Oryctolagus cuniculus: one gene and its partner. The protein of the gene in region 1 interacts with the protein of each later gene in a pairwise test. Links are inferred from orthologs where the notes say so. Each region holds a gene or a part of one and is shown on either strand. Other genes may lie near its edges.

Region 1 (3,648 bases):
GAGATTACACAGCCCCTCTGTGGCCGGGGTGACCTCGGCCAGCATTGAATGGGAACTGCTAGAGGAGGGGAGCTGCAGTTCCTCTCCAGAGTCTGCATCTTAACCCCCACCCCCCCACACTGTGAGTGGTGGTCATCTGCCTCTTGATGCCTGAGAGACACTAGTCTAGACTCAGTAGGTGGCAGAGTTAAGACTGGAACATAGAGGTCGGCACTGTGGCACAGCGGGTTAAAGGCCTACAGCGCCAGCTTCCCATATGGGCACCGGTTTGAGTCCCAGCTGCTCTGCTGTCTGATTCAACTTTCTGCTAATGCACCTGTGAAAGCAGCAGAGGATGGCCCAAGTCCTTGGGCCCCTGCACCCACCTGAGAGACCCAGAAGAAGCTCCTGGCTCTTGCTCCAGATCAGCTCAGCTCCAGCTGTTGAGGCCATTTGGGGAGTGAACCAGTTTATGGAAGACATCTCTCTATCTGTCTGTCTCTCTCTCTCTGTAACTCTTTCAAATAAATAAATCTTTAAAAAAAAAAAAAAAGAAGACGACTGCATTTTAACACCTGACACTATCTTAGTTTTTTGTTTGTTTGTTTTTAATAATATGTTTCCTTTCCACAGTGTCAGAAGTTTGGACAGTATAACAAAGAAGATCCCTCTTCTTTCAGGTTATCAGATTCCTTCTCTCTATATCCTCAGGTAAGTAATACACATTTTTAAGAATTCCTGCAGAGTAACCATTGCAGTAAAGTGAAGAGTGTGTTCCATTTCCAACCTCTATGAGGAGCTGTAGGAGTTTTATTAACTGAAGACCAGGTTGTGTGTGTGAGGCACGACCCCAGGCCCTACAGAAGACAGCAAGAACAGTCAGGAGAAAACAAGTGCATCTAGTGTCCTGAGAAGGCGAAGCAGGGTCTTTGGCAGTAGGCCACAACCAGATCTCTAATTTGCAGAAGTTAGTTCCCTCAGCAGCAAACCAGCAAAGTGAGGGCAAGATGATTTAACAGAACGAAAACACAGTTAGTATGACAGGTTATTAACATAACATGACAAGCGTTTCGCAGTGAGTCTGTGGTTATCCAGCTGCGTCCTATTTAGGCATCGGTAGTTAGCAGCTCTGAAAGTAACTACAAAAGGCTGAAACGAAGCACATGGCTGCCCCTGGGCAAGGGAAGAGAGGAGAGAAGTGGATGGAGCAGGAAGCTGCTCTCATGGACCTAGGTTTCCACGTTTCCCAGACTTCCGCCTTTGTCTGTGAGTGAGCTAGAGCTGAGCTCTGTGGCTGGCTTTGAGGGCTCCATCAAGTACTGAAACCTGGTGCGGTGCCAGCCACCTGTTCAGTGCTTCGTGTGAGCCAGATGACAGCAGGAGCCTGGGACTTGCCGGGGTCTGTGCCCGGCAGGTGGAGGCCAGGTGGAGTTTGTGAAGATCAGAGCAGAGTTTCAGCTCTCGCCCCACCACTGCTATCACAGGTGAGGTCCCAACCCCTGTGGATTTCAGTTTAGAAGGGAGGAGTTGGTCTGGAGAAGTGATTTGCAGTCCTTTCTCCAAGGGGCCCTCCTCAAAAGCTAGCACGTAAAGTAGAGGGACTGGATGCCACTCTGTGCCCATGCACCCCACCCACCCAGTGGCTCCCCCAAGCAGTGCCCTTAGCATTCGCTTCACTGAGATTCTTGAAGAGCAGTTGGAAAACCAGCAGATGAGGTTTTCCTAAGGAGTCTCTGTCAAGGCATTCTAGGATAGACGTCAGGAGCCCAGTCTCTAGAGCCAGTGGCCTGGAGGAGAGTCCCTCGCTGCCACTGCATAGTGCAGTGACCTGGGGCAAATTGGTCACACCTGTCTGCCTCAGTTTCCTCAGCTGTAAATAAGGAGAACTCGTGGGTTTATTGGAAGGATTCAATGATTCTTGGCAAGCACGTCGTGCCTTGCACGTAGAATCTACTGAATGTCAGGCACATTAGTCTTTAGTAGCCTGTGGTTTAATTCTGAGCCTCAAGAAGCTTTGTACTTCTCAAGGCAGCTCACTGTCACATGCTGGCAGCTCTACACACTGAGCGAAAAGTCTGCCCCCCAGCCCCCTGTAATTCTTGGGGTGAGGACCATGACCTCCCCAGCATTGTCTCTCCCCTGTGCCTGTCACTGCAGCCCCAAGGACTAGCTTGCGCCCTGAGCTCTCATCTGCCCTTCCTAGGCCTGCAGTCCCCTCTCTCTGACCTCCAGCCATCCCATTCATGTCTTTCAGGATCTATCTTCAACTCCACAGCTCTGGGTAGTGGGCTGGCCCGTCACCACCCCCACCTGCTGTAGTACTTTCAGTGCTGTGGCTGGTGATGTGAGGATGCCCCAGGGGGCTTTTTCCCCATGGGACCTGACTTCTCAGAGAGCAGATATTCTGTCTGCACAGACCAGATGCTCTGGAAATTAAGTGTTTCTTGACCTTTTCCCTTTCACGTGGAAGCTCTGCCATATCCCGAGGACCTTTAAACATTGTTTAAATCATAGTCAAAAACATGTAACTTTAAAATGCACCCAGAAACGTTAACCATTTGGGTAGTGTTAAGTTTATTCACGTTGTTACCCAGCAGATCCCAGGGGGTCACATCTTGGGAAACCGAAATTCTCTTTTTCTTTTTCTTTTTTTTTAAAGGTTTATTTATTTATTTGAAAGTCAGAGTTACACAGAGAAGGAGAGGCAGAGAGAGACAGATTTTCAGTCTGCTGGTTCACTCCCCCAGTTGGCCACAATAGCCGGAGCTGTGCTGATCTGAAGCCAGGAGCTTCTTCTGGGTCTCCCACATGGCCCAAGGATTTAAGCCATCTTCTGCTGCTTTCCCAGGCCACAGCAGAGAGTGGGATCAGAAGTGGAGCAGCCGGGACATGAACCGGCACCCATGTGGGATGCCGGCACTGCAGGTGACAGTTTTATGCTGTGCCACAGCGCTGGCCCCAAGAAAACCAAAATTCTCAACCCATTCAACAGAACTCTTCATTGCCCTCTCCCCCGACCCCAGGCACCGCTTTCTGCTTCCTGTTTATGTGAACGTAGAGACCTTTCTCCTGAAGTTGGGGCTCTGCTGTGTCGGTGCTGAGGTGGGCCGCCTCTGCCGAACCGCGGCAGGGTTGCAGCTTTGTGCCTTTGCCTCTCGCTTTGTGTTTGCAGTTCATGTTCCACCTCAGAAGATCGCCGTTCCTCCAGGTGTTTAACAACAGCCCCGATGAGTCGTCGTATTACAGGCACCACTTTGCGCGGCAGGATCTGACGCAGTCTCTCATCATGATCCAGCCCATCCTCTACTCCTACTCATTCCAGGGGCCCCCCGAGGTAGGTGCTATATGGGGGCTCTTTGGAGAACTGCAGTCACCTCATATGTCTGTTTTTTTTTAATTCTCCCCTAGCAAATTTACTTTTAGAACAGAATTTAAAAAAAAATATTGAAAACTTTAAGTTTCTGTAGCAACTTAACCTTATTTTTGAGTATTAAAAATATCCACAGGAAAAAGACTGGACGTATAAAGCTGTTTACAAACTATTAAAATAGAGAGTTAGATAATAATCTGAGTGTTTCATAGTAGAAAAAATAAGTAACCTATGAAATATTCACAAAAATTATGTAACAACATGTTACTGAGAAAAATCGAAACAGCAACTTTTCTAAA
Region 2 (3,648 bases), on another chromosome or scaffold:
TGTCACTTTTGCAATTTGATTTTTTATTAAATGAACAGGTATATCTACATAGATACACAGACAAAAGACCATGGGAAACTGGTAATGAAAATAAAAAGGACTTTTACTTTTTCCTTACACTATTTTGTATTTTGAAAATCAAAAGTAATTTTAAAAGTAAATGCCTCTTACCTTAATAAAACCCCAGATTCCACCAGCAGATGCTTCATCCTGGCCTTGACTGATTCTAGGATCTTCTTGCTCCTCTGGGAAAGTTATGGCTGATGTGGTTCCAGTTCCCTGGGCCACAGATGTCAAACTGGCTTGCTGAGTAATGGGAGTTGGCAAAATACCTAGTCAGTGGTAAAAATTTTAATATGTGTAATTTATTCTATAAACTTTGTCCTATCAAAAGATGACATAAAACAAGATGAGTGGCTTAACAGCCTTAATAATGTAACCTATACTGAGGCATTTCAAGATTAAGTTATAAACTCAAAGAATCACCCAGGCTTGTACAAAATGCAAATTAAATAGAATTCCAAAGAAGAAATTCATTTTCTTTAATACAAGCTTACATCAAGGGTTTTAAAGATTGACAAAAACATCTACATCAAGGAGTTCATCATGTCTGTCCCATTCAGCAGCTGAATGTGGACAGCAACCCCTCTAATCTCTTTAATCTACAAAAATATGAAGCAGCCAAACTCATCATATAAAAGGATGACCTACATTCACATATACTAAGACAGGGATGCAAAACTTGTACTCTCAATGTATTTTATGTGTAAAGGTAGGTAAGCACAATTAAATTCATAAAAATTGCAACAAAGTTGTCTCTGTTCCCTAACATAAGAAACAACAGGAAGGAGATGGTGAGATGAAGTTTTGACAACTGGTTTCCAATAACCATTCCAGATAAGCAGAAAGTGGAAATGGGGCCAAACTTGCAGCACAGCAGGAAAGCCACTGCCTGCAGCTCCAGCATCCCATATGAACAGGTTCAAGTCCCGGCTGCTTCTCTTCTGATCTGGCTCCCTGCTAATGTGCCTGGGAAAGCAATGGAGGGCGGCCCAAGTACTTGGACCCCTGCACCCACGTGGGAGACCCAGAAGAAGCTCCTGGCTTTTGGCTTTGGACTGGCCCAGCTCCAGCTGCTGTGGCAATTTGGAGAGAGAACCAGCAGATGGAAGACTACTCTCTGTCACTCCATTTCTCTTTCTGTAACTCTGCTTTTTGAATAAATAAATCTTAAAAAAAAGAATATAATAGAAGTAACTGACCCAGGATCACCAAGTCTTGGCACACTTGGGTAAATGACACTAGTCAGCCTTGACAATTTTTTAAGCAAAGCTTTGAAAAACACTCAGACTTCACCTTGCCATTTATAAGTGTACAGATGTTAGGACAAAATGCTGGAGTTTTTTCTGATACCTCCCATGCTAATTATATACAAAGTTTGGTTTTTTTTCTTTAACAGACAGAGTTAGACAGTGGGAGAAACAGAGAAAAAGGTCTTCCTTCCATTAGTTCACCCCCTAAATGGCTGCTATGGCCAGCGCGCTGCACTGATCCAAAGCCAGGAGCCAGGTGCCTCCTCCTGGTCTTCCATGCAGGTGCAGGGCCCGAGCACTTGGGCCATCCTCCACTGCACTCCCGGGATACAGCAGAGAGCTGGACTGGAAGAGGAGCAACCAGGACAGAACTGGCGCCCCAACCGGGACTAGAACCCGGGGTGCCGGTACCACAGGCGGAGGATTAGCCAAGTGAGCCATGGTGCCGGCCCTACATACAAAACTTTTAACAAATAAAAATAACAGGACCACCGCACATCGCTAATGAGAAAGTAAAATGGTGCACCTGCTTTGGAAAAGTTGGGCAGTCTTCAAGTAGCATAGGAGTAGCATAGAAGTCAGTAATTCCAGGCCCAAGTATATACTGAAGAGAAATGGAAACACATCCACACACAGACCTGCCCACAGGTATATGAAGCAGCACTATCCAAACCACGAAAAAGTGGAATGAACCAAGACCGACTGTTCAACAGATACAGCATGATCTATTCATACCCTGGAATATTATTTAGCCATGCAAAGGAATGAAGTGCTGGCACACTCTACAAGTGGACAAAGTCTGAAAATACTCTAAGATGTCAGTTATCGGAGATCACATGATTCCTTTTGTATGAAGTGCCCAGAATAAGCCAATCCAGACAGAAAGTAGATCAGTGGTTGCTTAGGGCTATGAGGATCAGGCAAAGTAGGGCGTAATAGGAGTGTTGGGTTCAAGTCCTGGCTCCACGCTCCATCCCAGTTTCCCACTACTGCACACCATTAAGAGGCAGCAGGAAACGTATCAAGTGGGAGTGTGTGTTCTCTCTCTCTCAAATAAATAAATAAAATGAATAATGAAATAAGCCTTCTCAAAAAAGTGACTAGGGTAATGGATGCACAACTCTGTAAATAGACAATTACTGAATTATGCATAGTATTTTTTCCAATCTTTATTTTATTTGAAAGGCAGGGAGATGGAGAGAGAGAGAGAGATCTTTCATCCACTGGTTCTCTCTAAATACCTGTAACAGCTGAGGCTGAGCCAGGAGCCCAGAATCCCGTCAGGTGCCCCACGTGAGTGACAGACTCCCAAATACTTGTGCCATGACCTCTGCCTCCCAAGTCCACAACAGCGGGAAGCTGGAGTTGGAACTGTGGCAGGACTCACACCCAGCACTCCGACACGGAACACAGGCTTCTCATGTGGCACCTTAGCCGCCAGCCAATGCCCACCCTAAGCGATACACTTTAAACGGATGGACTGTATGATAGGCACATTACACCTCAAAAACGCTGTCCGCTTTTAAAGACGCAACACTACCTGGAGTGCCGTGTTTCCTCACGAGTGAGAATTACCTGTCACCGGAGGTGCGGAGAAGGACGGCATGAGGGGCGTCTGCGGGGCTCTGCCGGCGTGGCCCCTCGTAATGTCGTACGTCGCACCAACAGAAAACCCTGATGTAGGCGGACCCGGAGCGGGGGCGGGTAGAAGGGCACTGGGAGCAGACGCTGAAGGTGGGAAGTGGAACGGAGGAGCATGACTGAAGGCAGCAGCAGGCGCCGAGGACACAGGAGGTGGCACTGAAGTCCCTAGTGGGGGGACAGACGGAACCGGGGAAGGAGGCACAAAAGGTAAGGGTGCCGAGGGCCTGACGGGCGCCAGGGACGGCTGAGGGGTCGAGTAGGCGTGCGGCGGCAAGGACTCCAGAGTGGACACGTTCGCAGAGGGAAAAGAACTGGTCGCAGCTAGAACAAACAAGAGAGAGGACGTGAGGAAAATATCGGAGATGCTCTTTACTTAGTTTTCTCGTGATTTTGTTCTCACAAATTTTAAAAAATGAACAGGCCACATCCCCAGGAACAACTATAAATGTTTAATTTAAAATATGCAGTAAATATGGTTGGGTGCAAATGACTCCTACAAGGAAACAGCTACATGAACTTAAATTATGACCCTGTTCATCAAGTAGATCTTAGTTGTTGGCTTATTTGTTTCAGTATGTTTTTAATAAAATAAAGCCATTTTTCATCCCTGGTGTGAATATAAAATCTAAGGCTGAAAAAGGTTAATCAAATCACAAGACAGAACAAACCTAGCACAGGACTTTTAGATATT

The links.
Region 2: the proteins of SEC23B (region 1) and PRRC1 interact in binary tests that used the Homo sapiens proteins (3 or more experiments, as listed by UniProt). The two-hybrid records come from large-scale screens. The link is inferred for Oryctolagus cuniculus from reciprocal best matches to the Homo sapiens genes SEC23B and PRRC1.

What each region holds. Positions count from the first base shown.
Region 1 is NC_091442.1:43,327,221-43,330,868, forward strand, and holds part of SEC23B (protein transport protein Sec23B), read left to right. Parts: intron 1-612; coding exon 613-690; intron 691-3,151; coding exon 3,152-3,313; intron 3,314-3,648. UniProt on the Homo sapiens protein: Component of the coat protein complex II (COPII) which promotes the formation of transport vesicles from the endoplasmic reticulum (ER).
Region 2 is NC_091437.1:16,666,153-16,669,800, reverse strand, and holds part of PRRC1 (protein PRRC1), read right to left. Parts: intron 3,279-3,648; coding exon 2,889-3,278; intron 333-2,888; coding exon 172-332; intron 1-171. UniProt on the Homo sapiens protein: May act as a regulator of the protein kinase A (PKA) activity during embryonic development.